3 linked regions of the Callithrix jacchus genome follow. Each later gene encodes a partner of the first gene's protein in a complex. Links are inferred from orthologs where the notes say so. Each region holds a gene or a part of one and is shown in the gene's direction. Other genes may lie near its edges.

Region 1 (3,645 bases):
CTGCACTTCTGCTCTAGATTCAGAGCAGTAGCATTTCTAGATTTCTAGTTTGAATATAAGATCTGGCAGCACATGGCATTTGATTGAGAGTCTTCATATTTTGGAGACCCAACAGGAAGTGGTAGATGATGTGGACTCTGATGATGCTGTTTCTACAGAGACCACTTGTGGACAACTTTCAGATGTACACTTTTGATAAACCCTGAGAATATGATAGTTCTTTTTTTCAAAACCTCTTCTAGATTTTTTTCCAGATGTTTCTTTCTTTAATTAGCAGATGAGATAAACAAATGACCATTGAATTAATATAAACTCAACCAATCATGTTTTTATTATGTGGACTGCACAGCCTTTTTTGGTCACATTGAGCCTTGATTAAATTTTTTTAGTCTTTTTGTTTATTAAGTTCCTTCTTTTTAGATTGTTGTACTTGCTTCAGCAAGAAACCTCAACCACAGAGCTGAAAACTGAATGTGCAGTGGTGTTGGGAAGTCTTGCTATGGGTACTGAAAACAATGTCAAGTCTCTACTGGACTGCCATATTATCCCTGCCTTATTGCAAGGTATGTAGGGAAGCCATTTTTTGCTCAAGTAAAGATAAGAATCAGTTTACAGTACTTTAAATACTGGTTGAGAGGATTAGTCCTAAATTTAGTTTCTGTTAATAGGACTACTGTCCCCAGACCTGAAGTTTATTGAAGCTTGTCTCCGATGCCTGCGCACCATTTTCACCAGTCCTGTCACTCCAGAGGAGCTACTGTATACAGTGAGTTTTAGATGTATTTGAGATATTAGTTGCATTTCACTAACAGCCTACTCCTAATTTGCTTGGCATCTTTAGACTCATCATAACTATGTTGTATAAAAAAGCCTCAGCTGGGCATGGTGGCTCACACCTGTAATCTCGGTGCTTTGGGAGGCTGAGGTGGGAGCATTGCTCGAGGCCAGGAGTTCAAGACCAACCAGAGTGATGTAACAAGACTCCATCTCTAATGAAAAAAATAAAAATAAAAATAAATTAGCCTGGTGCAATGGTGCATGCCTATAGTCCTAGCTACTCATGAGACTGCAGTGGAAGGATTGCTTGAGTCTAGGAGTTTGAGGTTATAGTAAGCTATGAGGTGCCACTGCACCTCAGCCTGTGTGACAGAGCAAGATCCTGTAACTTAAAACAAAAAAATAATAAAAGTCTCTGCCAGGTGTGGTGGTTCACGCCTGTAATCCTAGGAGTTCGTGAGGTCAAGGCGGATATAGTACCTGAGGCCAGGAGTTAAGACCAGACTGGCCAACACGGTGAAACTCCGTCTCCATTAAAACTACAAAAATTAACTGTACATGGTGGCACATAGCTGCAACCCCAGCTTCTTGGGAGGCTGAGCCATGAAAATCACTTGAACCCAGGAGACAGACATTGCAGTGATTGGAGATCACCACCCCACTCCAGCCTGGGTGACAGTACAGACTCTGACTCTAATAAATAAAGTCTCAAAAACTGTTTGAGTTCTTGCCTCACTATACATGTGAATTTGTGTGTGTGTGTGTGTGTATGTAGGTATGTATGTATATGTGAAAGAATCCTGAGACAAGTTTCTTGACATAGTTCCACAGATGAAATGCCCTCTGGTTTCTGTGTTGTCATTTTTCATTCTTCAAAAAAATGGTGATTGTGATTATCTGAGCCAACATAACAAATTATGTTGTTAAATTGTGCACACAGGAGTCAGAGATCTTACCCAGAATTAGGCTTTTTAAGTATTTCAAGACTAGAAGTAATAAAGAGGCATAGGCAAAGCAAGCATAGAGAAGAGACATGTCACATGGCTCCCTAGCCTGTCCTTTCTACATCAGACACATACTCCGCTGGCCCTTAATGATACATAAGGTGGTCGGTAGATGAGATTTATGGGTTACCTCACATAGGGAGCACCTAAATTATGAAAATTCTTTTATTTTATTTATTTTTGATAGGGAGCTTTGCTCTGTCACCCATGATGGAGTGCAGTGGCTCAGTCTTGACTCACTGAAACCTCTGCCTACCAGGTTCAGGTGATTCTCCTGCCTCAGCCTCCTGGGTAGCTGGGATTACAGGTGCATGCCACCATGCCCGGCTAATTTTTTTTGTATTTTTAGTAGAGACGAGGTTTCACCATGTTGGCCAGCCTGGTCCTGAACCCCTGACCTCATGATCCGCCTGCCTTGGCCTCCCAAACTGCTAGGATTGCAGGTGTGAGCTGCTGCACGTGGCCTAACATCTTTATTTTATACCTCATAGTTTTATGTGAGATTCTTCAGGGAGTCATACCTCATATATCTATAGATTGTTTACTGCAGTGGTTCTCAGATTTGAGGTTGCACTAGAATTACGTGGAGGGCTTGTCAAACAGGGATTGCTAAACCCCACCTCCGGTTTCTGATCCAGTGAGTTTTGGGTGTGGCCTGAGAATTTGCATTTCTAACAAATTTCCAGGTTCTCTCTTTAAGAGTTACTACTTTACTGTAGACATCCTGCTTAAAGCTTTCCATAGAGGACTTAGTAAATATCAGTTTATTTTCCTGTAGTTCATATGGTAATGTTTGCAGAGATTAAGCCAGTCACCTGTCTTATTTACCCTGGAAGTTTCTCACCTACCCTCAATCCCATAATAAGGGGAGAAGTTGATCCTGGCCAACTACTTTAACTCCTCCCACCTCACTCTCTAAACTGATTTTTGTCCTACTAATGGATCATGGTGCACAATTTGGAAAATTCTGGTCTATGCCAACTGTTTTACATGAGAAAAATTGAGACCCAGGGAGGTTAAATTTAGATAGAATATCTAAATTATGAATCATCTCAATTTTGTGCCTCAGATATTTTATACCTCAGAGACAGTGGAGAATTTGTAAAGAGTTGGATTGGGGAATAACTAGCAGCAGTGTTTCAGTGTATTAATTGACTTCTATGAGTTGGGGTGTATAAAAGCCAGCTGTTTGAGCAACTCAGGCTGTAGAATAGAGATGGGGTAGGTAGTCCAGTAAGAAGATGGCAGGATTTCTAGTTTGAAATTGTGTTTATTAGGTGGGTGATTTTGGGTAAATTTTGTATTCAATAATTGTTCTTTGCCTTATTTAATCATCTGTAAACTGTAGATATATAGACACAATTAACAGAAAGGGGGCAGATATGAAAAAATGGGATGGGGGCTATTGTAACTGAGGGAAATTGAGGAATGCAAGAACATTAGAGGAAAAGAAGGAGGTGGAAATAGCTTTAGGAGCCTAATAGAGACTTTTTAATCTACTTCTCTACCTTTTCTATCTTAGCTGCTATGTACTTCACCATTCTTTGCTCAAAGTAGAGTCTGTAGGCCAATGGCATCAGCCTCATTTGGAAGCTGACTCTTAGGATCCTACCCCAGACCTACAGTATCAAAGTACATTAAGAACATCTCCTGGGAATTTGCATGCACATTCCTTCTTGGGAAGCATAGCTCTTGTGATGTCATTGACTGGGAAGCTTGAGCTAAGTCTTCTTTCTTATCTGCGGTTCTAGCCAGATAACCTTTCAACTTTTAATTTCTTCGGCATTCTTTTTTTTCTTTTTTTTTTTTGAGACAGAGTCTTGCTCTGTTGCCAGGCTGGAGTACAGTGGCATGATCTTGGCTC
Region 2 (3,745 bases), on another chromosome or scaffold:
GAACTCAAGAGGTGGAAGTTGCAGTGAGCCGAGATCGCGCCACTGCACTCCAGCCTGGGCGACAAAGTGAGACTCTTGTCTATAAATAAATAAAATAAAGATCAAGAACTGTTTCCGTAGGGTTAAGCAGTTGCAAATGACGTAATTACCGACATGTACTGCCTCTGCGTTATCAAGCAAAATTCTGTCAAGACCTTAGACCTGTCGATTGAGCTCTTTCGATTGAGCTCTTTCGATTAACGGAAAATGTCCAAAACCGGTCGTCTTTTTCCAGCCTCTTTGCCGAACGGGACTGACTGAGGCCGAGCAGCCCGACCGGCGTGCCTTACGCGTTACTCAGGTCACCCGCCAGCAACCGCGCGAAACCCGTCACCCCGACCGCGCTTCAGAGGCGTTCCCTGGACGCCTCAGATGAAACCGGCGGCCGCCCCTCAAGGACTCTTTCTTCCTCCGGCTCCATCAAATACTCTAAGTTACTTCCCAGCCGCGGAAACAGGGGACCCCGCAATGCCGGAGCGTGCGTTCCTCCCGAGCGGACGGCAACAAGCAAGAAAACGCTCACACACCCAAGTGCGGCCTCACTGAGCCCCCCGGCCCTGCCCGCGCCGCCGCTGGGACTCCGCCCCGCAAGCCAGCGGGGTCTCCTTTGTCCCGCGCGCCCGGGCCGCGTCCGGCCCCTACAGCGCGACCTCAGGGAGGGCAGCGACCTCCGGATTCCCCACCTGGCCTCGAGTGAGGACGCGCTCAGTAACATCTCGGATAAAGCCAAGGAATCACTTCCGCGAGCAGAGACCACGGCTCCCGCCCGGCCAGGCCTCGGGTCCGCGGCCTCTCCCGGGGCCTCAGGGACACCAGTCCTGGCAGGCCGCCGGTCGGGAGGGGACTTCCTCCACGTCTCTGGGGCGACCGCGGATACCCGACGCCCTTCCTCCGCCCCACCCCGTCCGGCCTCACGCAAACGACAGGAAAAGAGCTGAGACCTTCGCCTTTGACTCAGTGCAGACGTCGCCATCCTTGCTCCAGGTTTCCACACTCCAACGCCTCCGCAGCAGCCATCTTACCCAAAGGCGGCCGACGCCTTTTGACTCTCGCGCCAACCCGTAGCGCGAGGTTGCCGCGAAGAGAGTTGTGCGCAAGGACGGAAGCTGAGCTCCCGCTCTTCCGGGAGGCTGTCGGTCCCGCCCCTTCGTGGGGGCGCTCCATTGGTCGTCTGCTCGCGCTCTCGCGCTCTCGTGCTGTCGCGAGAGGTGCTGAGGGGCGGCCGCCGGTGCCCCTTCCCTCCGCTCCCCGCCCCCGCCCCCGCCTCCGCCGCGGCCCCCGCCTCCGCCTCCTTCTACTCAGGCGCCCCGGCTGCCGCCGCTCCTCCCCGGCCCAGGAGCGGTTGCGGAGCCGCCGCCGCCGCTGCCCAGACCGCGCAGCGCGGGAGACAGGATTCGCACGGTAAGATGGCGGCGGCGGGCCCGGGCGTCCGGGCCGAGCGTCTCCCGGAGCCGGGGCAGGCGGGACGCGGCCGGGGTGCGCGCGGCCTCCGCTCTAGCGGCCTTCGGTGCGCTGGCGCGAGCTGGTGCAGAGTTGAGGGCAGTCAGGGATCAGCCTCCAGGCGCGCGGCCCCAGGCGCTGGCGTTCAGGGGCGGTCGCTGTCTCTGTGGAGCGGCGTCTGTAACGTGGTTTTTAAACAAAATCTGCCGGTTGAAAGCAGAAGCCGAGCGGGTGAGGATGTAAAGCGTGGCGTGGAAAGCAGGAGTCTTCGGCACCCAGGGTGTCTCCTCCTGCTGAATCTTTTTATGCGGAGTTTGAGACTACCGAGTTCTTCCCGCAAACCGGACGGGCCAGTTCTCCAAAGTTGTTGCTTTTCATGGACGCACGTAACTGCCCGGGAGTGGAAGCGCACTGAGTCCCGATCCCCGAATGGGCCAAGGGAAAAGGTGCCTTTCCTAGGGAGCTCATAATGTGGGACCTAGGGCCGGGGCCGGGCGCGGTGGCGGAGGTCGAAGTGGGCGGGTCACTTGAGCCCGCGAGTTCGAGACCAGCCTGGGCAACATCGAGACCCCGGTCTCTGCCAAAAACAAAATAATTAGCCAGGCGTGGTGGTGCGCACCTGTAGCCCCAGCTACTGAGGAGGCTGAGGTGAGAGGATCGTGAGCCCAGGAGGTCGAGGCTACAGTGAGCCAAGATCGCGCCACTGCCCTCCAGCCTGGGCAACAAAGCAATATCCTGACTTTAAATGGTCCTTAAGTTACCTTTGATTGTCATGGATAAAAATTTGGTCTCAGTGAGTTTTGCAGTTGACTAAGTGCAGGAGGTGGGTGTTGGTGCGTGACGGCAGATCCTGGTCACTCCACCTTACCTGCTTCTCCACAGCAACTTTTCTTCTGCTGGTGCCATTTCCTCTGCTTGACCTTCAAGGCTGGCATCCTCTAAGTAATGACGATTCTCATTCCCTAGGTACGCTCTCCCTGGGTGGTCTTTGCTGAATTCTTAGCTTTAAATATCCCCGTCCCCCGCCCTATTTTCCTAATTAATGTTTCCAGCACTGAGCTCAGGATCTGGAATCCAGACACCTGCTTGATTTCTCCAGCTGCATATCTGTCTAATAGTCACCTCAAACTTGCCCTGCTTCTCAAACCTGTTCTTCTCCCAGTCCTTCCTCCTTATTTGTGGCCCCATCTTCCAAGGCCTCTCATGCTTGAAACCTGTGACCATCTTCAGTTCTTCCCTTTCTTTTGTCCCGTCATCTTCTGTCCAGCAGCAGCCACTGATTCCATGACCAAAGCGTCCTGATCTTACCTGTCTCTCCGTCTCTTCTCCATGTCCTCTCTCACTTGAGTGTCTCCTTAATGGACTTGCTGGTCCGTTCTCACCACCCTGCATTCATCCTTTTTTCAGCCAGGAGACCAAAATCATCTTTTAGTTATTTAATTTACTGAAGCACTTTAGCAGTCCTTTGTATAAAGTAGCATCTGTAACACATATATCAGTGACAAAAGATGAAGACAGAGTGGACAGTGGTGTGACCACTGCCCATCTCAGGTACCCAGCCATTCTCCCAAAGCTGGAACAGCTGCCTCTTGGGCTTTAGACATCTGCCCCTCCCACAGGTAACCCCTCCTGAGTGTCAGCTTTCATGCCCCTATTTTAAGAAACAAAATAGTTTGGCCACATATTTGTTGCTAAAGCATGCATCATGTATTTTATCTTGTTCCTTATAAAATACGCCACATTTGGCCTCTCCTGCAACTTGCTTTTTTCATTCAGCATTGTTGTATGACAGTCATCTTTGTGACTTTGTGTGACATTATCTGCTTTATGAAATTCTCTTGTGTGAGTACATGACCACAGAACTTTCTCAGCAATGCTAAAGTCTAAACATCTCTGACACCAAAGTTTATGGTTTCGTTTGGCCCAAACCTCAGCAGAAAGTTTAATAGCCCTGCTGCTTCGTGTGGATACTCACACATTTCACTAAAGAAGTAGATTCTAATGGTGGGGAACTCCCCCAAACCCCACGGAGGCTGTTCCATGGTGAATGGCACCAAATATCACTGTACATTGAAGTATTCCAAATTCAAAACACATCTGCCCAAGGGTTTTAACATGCAGTGTGGTTCTGTGCAGGTGGGTGGCTTCCACACTTCTGCCAATTTGAACAGTGCTGCCGGGAACAGGGTTTTCTGTGTTTGCTGCGTTCTGGTGAGTTTTTCTAGAATATAAATGTACTAAAAGAAGAATTGCTGGGTTGTAAGGA
Region 3 (3,745 bases), on another chromosome or scaffold:
AGGGTGTTACTGCTCTTCCTTCACTGAAATGAGTCATTTGCCCTCTCACCCTAACACCACTCACTATCAGCAACAAAAGAGCCACAACTTCTAAGCTTCATCAGAGTTGGAGGTGGAGGTGATTCCAAAATCAGAGATGGAGGTGTCAATTTCTATTTAGGAGAGAGAGAAGGCTGCAGATGGCAGGGGTTGCACAGGATGGAAAGTCAGGAAACCTGCAGCTAAAGTGCCCGGGATGGAGGACTGATTGAACTTGGCCCTTCTGTGCAGGTCTTATGTTGGGCAGTGGAGACATAGAAAGCAGTCAGACTCCAGAAACCCGAGTCTGCTCTGTAACCTAGGCGAAGTTCTGATTCAGGGCCCAAACCTCCCCTTTGGAAAACAAAGATGACACTTGCTTTCCTCATTAAAGAGAGGGCAGCCATAAGCTTTGAGAAAAGCTGCCCAGGCCAAATATCAATTAATGTCTCGTGCAGGACGCGCTGTTCCCCCTCGGGTCGTCTGCCTTTGTTTGGGCTTCTCTTTCTCGTCTGTAAAAGGACCCGACTGGCCTGCATAACCTCATGAGCCTGAACCCTGCCTCAGTCACACCGCCCTGCACAGCAGAAGTCCGAATTCCACCTTACCCCCAGCTCGGCCCTTCATGGCCTCACCTGTCGGCGGGGCGTAAGCCCGGGCTGGAGACAGGATGGTTAGCCCCGGACTCTTAGAAGCGCTGGGGCCACCCGCAGGCCGATTCAGGAGGCGGCGTCCCCCGTCCCGCAGCCGGTGACAGCTCCTCCACATCGCGCCCGATAGTCTGGGAGGATGCGCAGCGTGAAACCTAGAGCAGGAAACGGAGCGAAGGGACCTCCAAAGCCGCACGATCGGGCTGTACGGAAACCTCTCACCGCCCCCTCAGAGCCCGCAGCCTCCCCTGGATGCCGCCATCTTCCACATGACACCAACGGCGTGCCGTCGCCGCCGCACGCCTCCTGCGCACACCCCCAGTCAATTAGCATCACAAACGCGCCTCGCTCCGCCCCCTCCACGCCGCGCCTCAGCGAGAAGACCACAAGTCCCAGCGGGCCGCTCGCGCACCCCACCACGTGCTTTCTCCTCCCGCCAATGGGTGGAAGCGCCGTGTAAACCTGTTCCCGCCCTCACCGGCTCGCCCGAGCCAATCGGAAGGGGCGGGGTGTGTGTTTGTGCGTGCGCGCGCGTGCGTGTGTGTGTGTGTCTGTGTGTGTGTGTGTGTGTCTGTGTGTGTGTATGTGTGCGCGAGGGCAAGTCGGGAGGGGGACCCAGCTCAGGACTGGGAGGCCCTGCTCTCAGGTCCCTGGGTCGCGGTGGCGGCCGAAGCGCTTAGTTTGCATACAGCGGACGGGTGGTCGCCCCTCCCGCCCCCACCCTGCGCGTGCGCGCCTCGGCCTCTCCCTCCCAGCCACCCTCCTTGGCTCCCGCGCGGCGGCGGCGGTTCCTCTCCCACTCCCCCCAGCCCTGGCTCCGGGGGACCCCGCGATGCCGGTCCGCACCGAGTGTCCCCCGCCAGCCGGTGCCTCGGCTGCCTCCGCGGCCTCACTCATCCCGCCGCCGCCCATCAACACCCAGCAGCCCGGCGTGGCCACCAGCCTGCTCTACAGCGGCTCCAAGTTCCGCGGCCACCAGAAGAGCAAGGGGAACTCGTACGACGTAGAGGTGGTGCTGCAGGTGAGCGCCGGGCCGGGCCGGGGCCCGAGGGCCTCCTCGCGGCGCTCACGGGCCGTGCCCGTCTCGGCTCCTCGAGCCGGCAGCCGCGGAGCAGGCCCTCGTCGCCGGGGCCTCCTGCACCCGGCGCTTCCCACCCGGGACCTGCCCAGCCTGTGCCTCACACTCTCCGAGCCCCAGCCCTGACCTGCCCCCTCAGATCCAGAGCCCGTCAAGACCCGCTTCTGGCGGACCCCGAACACTCTCCCAGACTTGAAGCCGGTGACCGGCCGGTCCGGGATCCGGAAGCCCCCATGACTCGGGGAAGGCCCGGGTCCTCCCTCCTCATGACCTGCCGTCCCTACATCAGGGACTGCCACGAGCCCTTTTCAGACCCTGAAGAACTCTCCATTGGTTTCACCAGACTCTGGACACTCCCCGTGTCTGGGCCCATGTCAGATTCAGAACTGAGTCCTGCCCTCCCGCCTCTTCCTCAGTCCCAGGAATCCGCAGACCCTGGGGGCTTCCTCTTCCTGAGATCTCCTTAGGAGGGCTTCATCAGACCCCTCAGACGGGGGAACACCAAACGCACCACTGATTGGTCAGGCCCTGGCCCCACCTCAAGACCAGACACTCACTCCCTGAGTGCTGCTCACAGTCTGCTGGGATCTTGCCTCCTGGGTCCCCTGTTCCACTCGCTGCTTCCCTCTCTTCATGCTCCAGGCACCCAGCCCCTTCCAGCTGCTCCACCTCCCAGCCTCCTGCCCCTGCTCTGGGACCACTTGCAGTCTTCTAATCTTCCTGGCATCTGTCCAGATTCCCCACCCCATATCTTCGTCTTGCTCGATCCTGGTTCCAGGGGACCCTGTTTGCTGTTCTTAACTTTTCTCTACACAGGCACAGGGCTTCCTCCCAGTGTCTGAGACCCATGTACTGGGAAATCTAACTCACCCAGTTTTAGTTCATGTCCAGCAGCCTCCCTGCATTTGACCTGGATTCCTGAATACCTGCTGCCAGTTCCTGATCAGCCTTGGAAGTACAGCTTCACCTGTGTGGGCCTTTCCCACACCTCACTCCTCTCAGGCCTGACACTTTTTGCCAGCTGAAATACTGCCCCCCGGGTGTGAGGGTGAAATGTACAGTGTATCTGTTCCTCAAGCTTGCCTTTTGACGGGTTAAAACTCTAAATCTTAGTTTTACTTCTGAAGAGTAGGTATCCCATTCAAAAGACAATGAGGGTGCCTTTTCTTTCTGCTATCTGCAGAGCAGGCATCACTCTTTCATTCTCATACTGCTGTGTGGGAGTAAATAGTTTTCTCTGCTTACTTGAAACAGCATCATCATGTTAATTTTATCTTTGGTCTGTAAAGTTCTAACATGAACCACAATCTTTATTATAATGGAAAAACTATTGTGGTTGAAATATTTTTGTCTTCATAACTATATGCCTAATGTGGTGATCCTCTTCTTGTTTTCTTAAAATGTGAACATCATTTCGGTTTGTTTTGCACCTAATCAGAATTCTGGAGGTGAGAACCCAGGGTGGGTCATGTTTGGGATGGTGTTGGATTTGTCCCCATTGTTGAGTTTGATGGTTTCTCATGTAGTAGGGGATAATTGGCAGGGTAGCCAGGTGTCAAAGGGGAGTCTGCTTTGACAACTGCAGCAACTACTGCTCCCTTCTGTCATTTGGGTGTCACTTCTGAGCTCCTGTCAGAAGGAGAATCGTGAACCAGTGGAAGCGGTGATTGAGTTGGGACAGGGCTGATAGGTCTCAGGCAGCTCAGAGCAGAAACCTGGCAGATGGCTGGGAGCCACTTGAGTAGGAAGTCTGCTGGTGGGGATGGTGGTCATGCCAAGGAATGCTGCCCTACATCTGGATTGGGGAGCTGCTTGGTCATCATCACGACTACTTAGTGGTATGTGAATTGCCCCATCAGCTGGTTTTTCAGTCAGGACTAGTTTCTCAGATACAGCCTTCTTAGACACAAAATACTTCTGCCTTTTACAACTCTCCTTCCTTCCTTCCTCCCTCCCTCCTTCCCTTCCACCCTCCCTTTTTCTTTATTTAGATACAATT

The links.
Region 2: the proteins of ARMC8 (region 1) and GID8 are in contact, whole or in part, in a cryo-EM structure (PDB 7NSC), measured with the Homo sapiens proteins. The link is inferred for Callithrix jacchus from reciprocal best matches to the Homo sapiens genes ARMC8 and GID8. Residues at the interface, in NP_001350870.1 of Homo sapiens: Asn45, Val47, Ile48, Gly49, Asn50, Val85, Ser89, Met92, Arg127, Arg130, Arg161, Tyr162, Tyr166, Leu200, Ser201, Tyr202; in NP_060366.1 of Homo sapiens: Ile83, Ala84, Asn87, His90, Pro91, Glu92, Leu94, Asp95, Thr96, Tyr101, Tyr183, Glu184, Asn185.
Region 3: the proteins of ARMC8 (region 1) and GID4 are in contact, whole or in part, in a cryo-EM structure (PDB 7NSC), measured with the Homo sapiens proteins. The link is inferred for Callithrix jacchus from reciprocal best matches to the Homo sapiens genes ARMC8 and GID4. Residues at the interface, in NP_001350870.1 of Homo sapiens: Glu309, Pro310, Asp311, Val312, Asn371, Glu373, Arg406, His409, Arg413, Ser414, Val415, Gln416, Arg419, Thr420, Gln423, Asp424, Val444, Ser448, Cys451, Asn452, Leu455, Phe457, Ala483, Val486, Asn487, Trp490, Met493, Asn494, Phe497, Gln498; in NP_076957.3 of Homo sapiens: Leu104, Ile105, Pro106, Pro107, Pro108, Pro109, Ile110, Gln114, Pro115, Gly116, Val117, Ala118, Thr119, Gly125, Gln146, His147, Tyr154, Cys156, Tyr158, Phe174, Glu176, Phe239, Val241, Pro242, His244, His292, Ser293, Ala294, Pro295, Ile296.

Annotation. Positions count from the first base shown.
Region 1 is NC_133518.1:46,106,095-46,109,739, reverse strand, and holds part of ARMC8 (armadillo repeat-containing protein 8), read left to right. Parts: intron 1-420; coding exon 421-563; intron 564-668; coding exon 669-766; intron 767-3,645. UniProt on the Homo sapiens protein: Component of the CTLH E3 ubiquitin-protein ligase complex that selectively accepts ubiquitin from UBE2H and mediates ubiquitination and subsequent proteasomal degradation of the transcription factor HBP1.
Region 2 is NC_133506.1:58,465,725-58,469,469, forward strand, and holds the start of GID8 (glucose-induced degradation protein 8 homolog), read left to right. Parts: upstream 1-1,232; 5' UTR 1,233-1,440; intron 1,441-3,745. UniProt on the Homo sapiens protein: Core component of the CTLH E3 ubiquitin-protein ligase complex that selectively accepts ubiquitin from UBE2H and mediates ubiquitination and subsequent proteasomal degradation of the transcription factor HBP1.
Region 3 is NC_133506.1:69,115,421-69,119,165, reverse strand, and holds the start of GID4 (glucose-induced degradation protein 4 homolog), read left to right. Parts: upstream 1-1,179; 5' UTR 1,180-1,251; coding exon 1,252-1,689; intron 1,690-3,745. Other genes in the region: ATPAF2 (ATP synthase mitochondrial F1 complex assembly factor 2), read right to left, coding at 654-786.